Sus scrofa: one gene and its partners. The protein of the gene in region 3 interacts with the protein of the main gene of each other region in a pairwise test. Links are inferred from orthologs where the notes say so. Each region holds a gene or a part of one and is shown on either strand. Other genes may lie near its edges.

Region 1 (4,372 bases), on a different chromosome or scaffold from region 3:
AAGAGACAAGCCATCAAAAATACCAGAAAATGTGTGCTGCTCTGAGAAGTAATATAAAGTGACTGGCTGACTAATTCACATGGGGTGGTCAGGAAGGACCTTCAAGCAGGTGACTTTAACTAAAATTGGAATGACAAGGATGGAACCAGCCAAGTAGAGATCAGAGAGAAGAGCGTGCAGAGGTCTTCAGCAGGAATGAATCTTCCCAGGCACTTGGCTTTTCCCTCCTCTTCCCCAGGTTCAGGGAGATTACTATGGAGACTTTGCTGCACGCCTAGGCTATTTCCCCAGTAGCGTTGTACGTGAAAACCAGACCCTGAAACCTGGCAAAATCGTTGTGAAGACAGATGTGAGTGTCCTGGAGGCTAACAGGGATCTGGACCCTTGGGTTGTGATGATGGGCAAAAGTGCAGCCTATCTATGAGCTGGGACAATTCCCTGCCTTTCCTTCCTTCCTTCCTCCCTCCCTCCCTCCCTCCCTCACTCCTTCCCTCCTTCCCTCTTTGCTTCCTTCCTTCCGAAGTTCCCTGGCCAGGGATCAAGCCCCCGCCAAAGCAGCCACCCAAGCTGCTGCAGTGACAACAACAGATCCTTAACCCACTGTGCCACAAATGAACTCCTCCCTGCCTTTTCTAATCTGTTAAATGGTGAGTGATGTCTAAGTCCTAGTCCAGTTAAGAGGTGCAAAGATTAGAGGGCCCTAGGCTAATTTGCATAGCACTTGGGTGGACAAACCTGGCGTCTACAGCTGCAACATTTGCTAAAACCATTAGATCCTTTGTGGTGTGACTGCTGTTTTCCCCCCACTGTTTCCCTTTTTTGTTTTTCAGAAATGGGATTTCTACTGCCAATAAGCTCAGTCTACTGCTGTCTCTGCAGTTGTTTCTCGCCGGCTTTATGCAAATACATCAGCCAAATGCCAACTATTGGGTCTCTGTGGTCTTTGTGGTAGGGACCTAGAAAGGAAATGTTTCTCCAGGTTTCTGAATCTAGCCAGTCAACCCACGGAATGTAGTAATGTCAGTGGTTGCTAGGCAGAGTTTCACGGACTAAAAGCTCTTAGCTCCAAGCTGGGTACCAGAGGTAGGCTCCTCAGCTTAGATATCACAGGCAAATAAGACGGAATAACCTAAACAGACAAATTAGGGAATTGTAGTGTCCTCTCTTGACCAGTAAGAGAACTAGTGAACTATTGGGAATGAGCCAATCGGGCAATGAGGAAGTAATCGCGGGGCATATGTTTTTTTGGAAGATTGTTGGTCAAAGGAGGTAGGAGTAAGAACCATCCCAGTTTTCATCCTTCTGCCTTTGAGATCAGTACTCCCAAGCTCGAGATCGGCACCTCTTCCAGGCTCTGTCAATCTTAACCCTGCCCCTTTCTTTGCATCCGTATCCCCGCCCCCAAGTCAGCTTCTACCCAATCTGGAATCTCAGGTCTGCTCCTGGTCTCCTGACCGAAGCCATTTCTCTGCTCCACGGAGCAACTCTGCACCACCCCTTCCCACTGACGCCGCCAATCGCTCGCCCTGGTCCCGCCCCTTTACGTCCCGCCTCTCTCGCCCCGCCATTCTGCGCCTTTTGTCCCGCCCCTTGCCCGCCGAATCCGCCAATCCCTGTCTTCGGGAAGCGTGGCCTGGTATCCCGCAGCCTTAGCGGGTCGCGCCGGAGGGGGGTGGAGGCGGAAGCGACGGCGCCGGCCCCGGGAGTAGGAAGGAGCCGGGGCTGCAGACCGAGTGGAGCGGCTGCCAACCGAGGACCAGGAGCGGCCGCGTCGCCATTTTGCGGCCCTAAGCGGCCGCGACCGAGTCATGGCTGAGACCTACGGTGAGGGTGGTGGGCGGAAGCGGGAGTCTGGGGTCTGGGCCCAGGGAGATGCGGCCTGTGGGTATGGGGCGGGGCTTTGTATTACCAGGGGGCGGGGTCTGGTTGTATGGGGCAGGGCCTAGTGGATGCTGGGAGGGGTTTAGTGAATCTGAGGCTGAGCTTAATAGGTTTGGGCGGAGCCTGAGCGTCTGGTGTGTGGGCGAAATAGACGTGGGGCGGGTTTGGGGAACCCAGTCGCGATAGATCGTGGAGGTCTTGAGGAAATGGGTGGGCCTTAATGTGTCGGGGCGGGGCCTGAGTGAATGGGGCGGGGCTGACTGAATAACAAGAATCAAGCTTGAAGGCCTGGAAGGACTGTGAAAGGATGTTCTGCGAGGTGTCTGGAATGTGGTTGGGGGTGAGCTGTCCTTGAGCTAGGGGGTGGGGCTAGTGGCAAGGGGTGGGACTTGAGAATAGGGGCCTTGGGCAGAGAACGGGAAGGAGATCCTGAGCGTTGGAAAATCCAGAAGGATGGGTAGGACGTGGGAGAACAGAATATGGTAGAGAGAACTCTGGTGTGGGAGTCAGAGGGAGCTGCATTCATTCAACAGAGAAAAGCAGAAGGAACAAGTCCTTGAGGTAAGAACCAGCTCGTCTCTTCAGGGAGTAGACTGAAGGCCAGTGGCAAGAGTGGAGTGAATGAATAAGAAAGTGATAGGAGATGAAATCATGGGGTGCAGCGAGGGGAGGCTGAGTCTGATAAAGTGGTTTTCAAGAGGCTTTAGCAGGAGTTCCCGCTGTGGCTCAGAGTGTTAAGATCCCGACTAATATCCATGAGGATGCTGGTTTGATCCCTGGCCTCACTCAGTAAGTTAAGGACCTGGTGTTGCCACAAGCTGTGGTGTAGGTTGCAGATGCAGCTCAAATCCCAGGTGGCTGTGGCTGTGGCTGTGGCTGTGGCCAGCAGCTGCAGCTCTGATTAGACCGCTAGCCTGGGGACTTCCATATGCTGCAGGTGTGTCCCTAAAAAGACAAAAAAGAAAAAAAAAAAAGGCTTAACAGTGTAATAGCTGAGATTTTGGACTCTGGAGCCAGTTGGCCCGGGTTCGAATCCTAGCTCTACCTTGCCAGCTCTACCTAGCAGTGGGATCTTGGGCAAGTCAGTAACCTTTCTGGCTTTAGATTCCTCATCTGGTTACAGGGGTGATTATTAGTACAACTTCCTCATAGAGTTTTGCCGAGGATTAAGTTGAGGTCTTGATGTAAGTAAAGACTTGTAGAAGGGTTCCTGGTATGCGGGAAGCACTGTGTAAGAATTATCTCTTACTGCTTTGTTACCCATTGTTCTATATCTGCCTGTGTCTGTTGCTCTCCCTGTAATTGTGATGCTCTCTTGGTTTCCATTTTTTCATGTCTATCTTTCTCTCCACATGGGTTTCCTTGAATTTGGCTCCATCCACTCAGACTTCCTCTTCAAATTCCTGGTGATTGGCAGTGCGGGTACTGGCAAGTCATGTCTCCTTCATCAGTTCATTGAGAATAAGTGTGAGTTCCTGGGGGTGGTCCTGGAACACTAAACTGCGGGCATGGGCACGGTGTGGGCAAAGTAGGCAGCTGTTGGGGTGGGTAGGTGGCAGGACTGGCCATAGGTGCAATGCCAGTGCTGGCTACCTGGTCCTCACCTTGGTGTATGTGCTTTGCTAGGCCCTCCTTGAGCCTCAGTCACCCCAGCAATGAGAGAGGATGGGTTCATAGGGGCTGGGGAGGTCTTGGAGGGCAGGGAATCCTCTGAGCCCCTGCACTGTCTCTTTTCTCCCTCCCACTCCCAGTCAAACAGGACTCCAACCACACAATCGGCGTGGAGTTTGGATCTCGGGTGGTCAACGTGGGTGGGAAGACTGTGAAGCTACAGATTTGGGACACAGCCGGCCAGGAGCGGTTTCGGTAGGTGGGCTGGGCTCCTTGGGAGAGATGGGAGGGGAGGGGAGGGAGAGAGGCGTGCAGAGCATGTGATAAGAGCAAGGACACACAGAGAGGGCAGGCAAGGTAGAGGGAGGGAGAAAGAGATGGTGAGGAGCAGGTACATGGGGTCAGAGAAAGAAGGGGTCTGGGAGAGAGGAAGGCAGAGACACAGAGAAAGATTGAGAAAGCAGCATAATGAATGAAGGGTGAGAGCGCTCGGGAGGGACACCTGACCCTGCGGAGACTATGAGGGGTAGACCCCTGCGGCTGGAGGAACGAACCTATCCCAGGGAACAAGGCCTGGAGAGAAGGAGGTGCTTGGGGTGGGGCGAGGGCTCGAGGTTGACAGGATGCCTAGAACAGAAAGGGAGACTTGAGAGAGAGCTACAGACACTCAGAAAGGGAGAGAGAGGCGTTCCCACTGTGGTGCAGCCTAAATTAGTCCGAGGATCCACGAGGATGTGGGTTCCATCCCTGGCCTTACTCAGTGGGTTAAGGATCTGGTGTTGCCGTAGCTGGAGGTTAGGTTGCGACTTCGGCTTGGATGTGATCCCTGACCAGGGGTCTCCCTATGCCGCGGGGTGGCCAAAAAACAGAAAAGAGAGGC
Region 2 (3,649 bases), on a different chromosome or scaffold from region 3:
CAAAACTCCAACCTACCATTTGGTAACTGACTATGAAAAGGTTAAAGCTGATATATCACAGGGAATGCCTCCCCTGGTCCCCACTGAGGTTATCAGATTGTCGAACCTTAAATGATTTCCTGGATCTTCATCCTAGGATTCCTGAGTCCAAGAGGCACAGGGTCAAAGAGAATGAATGATGGGGACACAGGGTGCTGTGTGGCTAAAGGGCTAGGTTTTTTAGGACTAGAGGTCTGTGAGCGACCACTGTTACACTGCACTGGCAAGATACTATTACACCACTGCAGAACACAAGTGCACCTGTTGGAGTAAAGTACCCACAGGATTACTAAGTTTACTCATCAAATGAGAGCTACTTGGTAAGAGAAAAGATAAGCTGAATTTATACATGTAGGAGTTCCCATCGTGGCTCAGGGGTTAACGAATCCTACCAGGAACCATAAGGTTGCAGGTTCAATCCCTGGCCTTGCTCAGTGGGTTAAGGATCTGGCTTCACTGCGAGTTGTGGTGTAGGTTGCAGACGTGGCTCGGATCTGGCGTTGCTGTGGCTCTGGCACAGGCCGGCCGCTAACAGCTTCAATTACATCCCTAGCCTGGGCACCTCCCTATGCCGCAGGTGCAGCCCTAGAAAAGACCAAAAAAAAAAAAATTATACATGTAATAAAAAATTAGCTTTCTATTCCATATACCTGTTGGGTCATCATTTATACAACTCATGGGCAGTTATCAATTAAAAATAAAAATAAATCTTTTACCTGGCACTGTCTTTGGTACATTTTCAGTTCTTGTAAGAGCTTCTGATTTTCATCTTGTAGCTTATTCCTGCTTAATGCTATTTCACTCACAGCTGATTTTAATTTTTCAATAATGAACTCATCTCTTTCAGTGGTTTCACAACTGTGATCTGGTTCACATAGCAACTGAGGAATTTCAGAGCTGCTGTCTTCCATGCCCTGTTTTTTACCATTTAGTTGAGTTTGGTAACTTTGTGCCTGTTTCTGAGAAATATGAAAATTGTGTCAGTTGAGTGGGGAATACAACACTTAAGCTTACATAAAGTTCAAGAATGATAGAGAAGAATTAGGAAAAAACATTTATATTATTAATGAAACTGTTCTTCATAATTCAGTCTTGTGTTTATTCTAAAACTTCAATTTCAGAGGGCATAAAGAGAATATATATTTGCATAAACTCAGAGCAAATATGTAGAGTAGGGTAGAGGACTTTGGGTAGGGAATTCTTATTTAGCGAAAAAGAAAATAGAGAAGATATTTAAAAAGGGGGGAAAATATGGATTCTATTACACAATAGTTGAAAATGTCTCTATGGCCAAAAAAATAAATAAATAAAATAACAAACAAGAAAACACGATGGACTGTAGGAAAAAGTTGTCAACACCTGTAACAAGGGTAACTTCTGGTACACAAAAACTTCTAAGAAAAAGACAACGCAAGAGAAAAGTGGACAATATTTATGCACAGGCAATTCACAGAAGAGAAAATGAAAAAGTCTAGAAACACATGAAGAGATGCTCAACATCACAAGCAGTCAGAGAAACACAAAGCGAATCAAGCCAACATTACTCTTGGTCCATCAGGTTGGTAAAAATCAAAGGACTGATCTTCTGGTGAGAGTCTGGGTAGTTTTGCTGGCTGTTGAGAAACTAAATTACTAACTTCTTTTAGGAAGTCATCTGCCAATATTTATTAAAAATCTGATTGGCCCACTTTCCATTGCCCGAATTTGCACTTGCTCTCTTGCCTCAGCAGCTTTGCTAACGTTATTTCCACCACCTGGAATACGTTCTCTCTTAGAACATATCCTTCCTTCAAGATCCTGGCCTAGTCCCACCCCTGCTGGAGGATGTTTCCTAAATCCAAATTTTTCTCACTCCTTCCACCTCTAAAAGGATTTGGATCCTTTCCTTTCACTTGTCATTAATTATCTGTAAACCTGTACATGTGTTATGTCTGTGTCTAGACTAAGCTTCTAGGGGGCAGGGACCAAGCAAATTTAAGACTTTCTAAGAGACTTGATCATAGGCATGCAAAAACATGTTATTTAATGACATAATAACAATGGACCTTTTTTTTTTTTTTGGTCTTTTTAGGGCTGACCCGCAGTACATGGAGGTTCCTAGGTGAGGGGTCGAGTCAGAGCTATAGCTGCCAGCCTACACCACAGCCACACCAGATCCTTCACCCACTGAGTAAGGTCAGGGATCAAACCCGTGTCCTCACGGATACTACTCAGGTTTGTTACCACTGAGCCATGATGGGAACTCCACAATGAACACTTTTGAATTGAAGTATCATTGATTTACAATGTTGTGTTAATTTCTGCTGTATAGCAAAGTGATTTCTTTTTAAATATTCTTTTCCATTATGGTTTATCATAGTACACTGAACACAGTTCTGAGCTGTACAGTAGGACCTGTTTATCCCCTCCATTTATAATAGCTTCTATCTGCTACCTCAATATCCTACTCCATTCCTTCCCCAACCCCTCCCGTGGCAACCACAAGTCTGTTCTCTTTGTCCGTGAGTCCGGTTCTGTTTCATGGATAGGTTCATCTGTGTCACATTTTAGATTCCTCATGTAAGTGATATCATGTAGTATTTGTCTTTCTCCGTCTGACTTCCTTTACTTAGTATGATAATCACTAGCTGCATCACATGTTGCTGTGAATGGCATTATTTAATTCTTTTTATGGCTGAGTGGTATTCCAACAATGGACATTTTTAATAAAACCATCTTCTGAGACATACAGACTAAAGTCACCATTACAGACATTTCACACCCTTGTAAACTCTACCCAGTGTTGGAACTACTCATTATTTTCCCTTAGTTGGCATTTCTATCTGCAGAATGGTAAAGAGGAATAATAGTATTTAACCTCTAATTTATTCTAATTTAGAGGATAGTATTAGATAATGTACCTGAAATTGATTACACTTCTCAGATAACAATTTTTGTTGAGCATCTACAGAAACCAGATGAGTCTGATATAATATCTCCTGCTTGTCCCATTCTCTTGACTTTGCTCTAAATTCCTTTTAAAAAAGTGGAAAGATAAATTGAAAAAATTATTCATTCCAAAGTACAGTGAACGAGGCTTCTTTCATTTGTACATCTTTCTTCTGAAGAAAAAAAAAATCCACCTTTCCCCATTAGGAGAACAAAAAGTATCAAATCACTCACTCTGGATTTACTAATTTATCTTCTAATTTTTGCTAGGAAAGTATGGGATTTAATTCATATTTTTAAAAAATAAGCACTTGTTAAAGATGCAAAAATTTTTAACAAACGCTGTTTACTAAGAAGGGAGTTGCATCAATCAACACTTCCTTTCTATTTCCTCAGCTGATATCCAAAGTTTTTCCCATCTTTTATTCTCTACACTCAGTCACCAAACCTGCTCTCTTGCTTTTGAGGGGGTGGGGCTTGGACTAATTTAGTGACTTTGTCCCCTGTGGCTTTCAAAGCTACTGTCCCAGGTGAAGCCAGATCAACCCATCAACAGAACAACCACCTCAGGGCTCCTTTAAGCAGCACCTACTGGGCTAAGCTGGGGAGGAAGTGGTAGAACTGCTTGATACAGCAGGCTTCTTGATTTTTGTCTAGGGCTGGCCATTATACCTTATCTTTC
Region 3 (3,649 bases):
GTAAAACAGAAAAACTATAGGACAGTAATAAGAATTTGTTTAAAAAATTAGTTCATAGTCCGGAGCTATATTTTCTAGGAACAAAAAGGATTCTAACCTAAAGATACCACCATAAGAGTTTCCTTGTGGTGCAACAGTTTAGGGATCCGACATTGTCACTGCAGTGACTCAGATCACTGCTGTGGCATGGGTTTGAACCTGACCTGGGAACTTCCGCATGTCGTGGGTGCAGCCAAAAAGTAAATTGGTTAAAGATACCACCATATAATAAATGTTCTTAATGACCCTTCATCATTGAGAAAAGCTAAATTATGTAGAATGTATCTTGTTTGATAATGAGAAATGCATGTGTATTTAAATGGCAGGTATATTTTAAAAGCTTTAAAATTTTAAAGTTTGTTTTAAGCAGGACCATTTAGTTATCAGAATAGTAACTTACTCGGAAAAGCCCGCTTACTAAGGAAACCAAACAAAGAGCTTTGGCTGTTGAGTCAGAATTACAGAGCTGAAAGAGACTGTAGAGATCATAACTCCAAATCTACTCCTTTTTTCAGATGAAAGTCTTCTGTTTAGAGATTAATGTTTGTTTCACTATAGAGAACCTACTTATTGAAATTAGAACTCATAGGTATCCTGGCTATTCATTCATTTTTCCTTCTTTTTTTTAGTTCATGTATACTAAACTTGGGAGTACTTGAAATTGAAATCTATGTATTATAAAGTGTTCTTTTTCATTTGTTGGTATGATGCACTAGTATTCAAGATTTGAAAGAGAGAATTAGACAACGTACCAACTTACCACTGGGGCCAAGTATCGATACTCATGGGGAGACTTTCCTATCTCAAGAAGTGGTGGTTAATCTTTTACAAGAAACCAAACAAGCCTTTGAAAGATGTCATAGGGTAAGAGTAATGGTAAAATTGTAACTGTAAATCAGTTTTATTTATATATAGTTGTGTATTTTAATTTTTGCCTTCTTTATACTAAGATGTAACTCTGCTCTCTGGTTAGGAACAATTATTTATTGTAATAAAATAAAATTTTTGTTTTGGAGAACAGAATTAGTTTTAACTTACTTAGAAGTATATTACAAGTTATAAAAAATGTATTATTTTAAAGTTGAGCAAATCAAATTTTCTTTTTTTGAGATATTAAATCAAGATATGAAGGGGGAGAGATTAGACCTATCTCATAAAGAAATAGAGCATTAGGGAGAAAAGGATGTTTTAAGAACACAGATATCAAAGGAGATGGAAAAATTGACTCCATTAAAATTTAGAGTTTCTTCGCCAAACACACTTTAACAAAGTAAACAGGTAAGTCACAGCCTACCAGAAGGTGTTTATAACCAATATTACTAGCAGAAGATTTTTGAGACAGATAATAGTGACTAATAATTATAGACCACATACTATGTTCCAGACACTCTTCTAAGCATTTTAGTATGTATTAACTCATTTAATCATTGTAGCAAACCTATGAGGTTGTTATTCTTATTTTACAGAGGAAAATACTGGGATGCATCCTTTTAAGTATGGAATTGAGAGTTGAGGCAGTCTTAATTTTTATATGTATTGATGTATATGGTGTATATATTTATATTGATGGATAATAAATCAATGTAGTTATACATATAATTAAATAGAAAACAAATCAAAGACTATACAAATGCAGAAAATGTAAATTATCAGAAGATAATCAGTCTATTAAGGAAATGAAACTTTTTTTTTTACTTTTTTTTTTTTTTAAGGGCCACACCCACAGCATATGGAGCTATAGCCACTGGCCTACTCTAAAGCCACAGCAAGGCCAGATCCGACCCACATCTGTGACCCACACCACAGCTCATGGCAATGCCAGATCCTTAACCCACTGAGTGAGGTCAGGGATTGAACCTGGGTCCTCATGGATAGTAGTCAGATTTTTGTTTTTGCTGAGCCATGATGGGAACTCTGGGTAATGAAACTTAAAATAGGAAAATACTATGTCATTCTCATTAGGTTGGCAAAAATTAAGAGGCCTGTTGATTCTAAGTATTGGTAAGGATTGACACAATAGAAATTCTCATACATTGCCGATGGAAGTAAAAATTGGCATGCTTTGGAGAGTAATTTGTTAATTCCTTAGAGAAACTCATAGGTGCACATGACATATCAAACATGGAAAGCAACGTTGTTTGTCATGGTGAAAAATTAGAAGCAAACTGTGCCTTATAGAGAATTGACAAACTGAAGTTGTTCATACAGTAGAAAACTATACACCAACATGTATCAGCATGAGTAAATTTCAAATGTTGAATGAGAAGATTAAGATGGGGAAAAGATATGTTCAGTATACCACAATATAAAGTTTTAAAAAGTAAAACAAGGAGTTTCCTTATAGTGTTAACTATCTGGCATTGTCACTGCAGTGGCCTGGGTCACTTTTGTGGTGTGGGTTTGACCCCTGGCCCAGAAACTTCCACATGCTGCTGGTGTGACCAAAAATAAAATAAAATAATAAAAGGTGAAACAGTGTGTTGTTTAGGGGTATACATGAGCATGGGTGTGATAAACAACTTCAGAGTAGTGGCATAGTAGGTTAAGGATCTGGTGTTGTCTCTACTATGGCTTGGTGCCATAGGTTTGGTCCCTAGCCTGGATGCTTTGGATGGGCCTGGAAAAAAAGACATGGGGAGAGTAATGAGATGGGAGGTTGAAATGTAGGCAACAACTCTTTGTATACCATACTTAGAAACTTGAACTTGACCTTATAGATGATGATGGAAGCTTAAAGGATATTAAAAAGATTAGGTTTTTTTCCTTTCTTTTTCAAAACTTAGTAACTTTGAGATACAGTTTGACAATCATTAAACTGCATATATTTAAACTATACAGTTTGATAACTTTGGTAAATTATGTGTACATTTGTGAAGCTATAAATGCACTCGAGATCAGATCTATCACCCCAAAAATTTCCTTTTGCCCTTTTAAAATCTTCCTGCCCCCTCCCACTGGGTCTGTCCTCAGGCAACTACTGATCTGTTCACTGTAGATTAATTTTGAAAAAGAAGGGGGATACTTCAGGACTGAGTATTCAAAGCTAAATAGGATGTTTACAAGAAATTGATTGTTTTTCTAGAATTTTTAATAAATGGGATTAAAATATCCATAATTTACACATGTGTTTCTAGATTCTTTAACTCAGCATTATTATTTTGAGATTCATTCATGTTGTGTGTATTAATTAGTATTTTTTTATTGCTGATTTCTACTTAATTTTGTGAATGTACCACAATTTGTGTATTCATTTACCTATTGATAGCAGTTTAGATTAGCTCTAGTGTTGTTACAAATGAAGTTGTTATGAACATTCATATATATATCTTTATGCAAACATACTGTCATTTCTCATGAGTAGCAATATGATGTCATATTATTATTCTTTTATGAAACTGCCAAACTGTTTTCCAAAGTTGTTTCATTTAACATTCCACCAGCAGTGTGTTAGAGTTCTGTTTGTTCCACATGATTTCCAGCATTTGGTATCATTAGTCTTTTTAGTTTTAGACAGTCCAATAGAGTGTGTAATGATACCTTATTATGGTTTTAGTTTGCATTTTCCTAGTGACTGAAGATGAGCATCTTTTCATACACTTATTCACTATCC

The links.
Region 1: the proteins of EXOC5 (region 3) and RAB4B interact in binary tests that used the Homo sapiens proteins (3 or more experiments, as listed by UniProt). The two-hybrid records come from large-scale screens. The link is inferred for Sus scrofa from reciprocal best matches to the Homo sapiens genes EXOC5 and RAB4B.
Region 2: the proteins of EXOC5 (region 3) and DEUP1 interact in binary tests that used the Homo sapiens proteins (3 or more experiments, as listed by UniProt). The two-hybrid records come from large-scale screens. The link is inferred for Sus scrofa from reciprocal best matches to the Homo sapiens genes EXOC5 and DEUP1.

Annotation. Positions count from the first base shown.
Region 1 is NC_010448.4:48,987,513-48,991,884, forward strand, and holds the start of RAB4B (ras-related protein Rab-4B), read left to right. Parts: upstream 1-1,567; 5' UTR 1,568-1,808; coding exon 1,809-1,824; intron 1,825-3,267; coding exon 3,268-3,348; exon of another isoform or gene 3,349-3,632; coding exon 3,633-3,747; intron 3,748-4,372. Other genes in the region: MIA (melanoma-derived growth regulatory protein), read left to right, coding at 239-424. UniProt on the Homo sapiens protein: The small GTPases Rab are key regulators of intracellular membrane trafficking, from the formation of transport vesicles to their fusion with membranes.
Region 2 is NC_010451.4:25,831,297-25,834,945, reverse strand, and holds part of DEUP1 (deuterosome assembly protein 1), read right to left. Parts: intron 3,054-3,649; coding exon 2,940-3,053; intron 999-2,939; coding exon 756-998; intron 1-755. UniProt on the Homo sapiens protein: Key structural component of the deuterosome, a structure that promotes de novo centriole amplification in multiciliated cells.
Region 3 is NC_010443.5:186,399,140-186,402,788, reverse strand, and holds part of EXOC5 (exocyst complex component 5), read left to right. Parts: intron 1-755; coding exon 756-903; intron 904-3,649. UniProt on the Homo sapiens protein: Component of the exocyst complex involved in the docking of exocytic vesicles with fusion sites on the plasma membrane.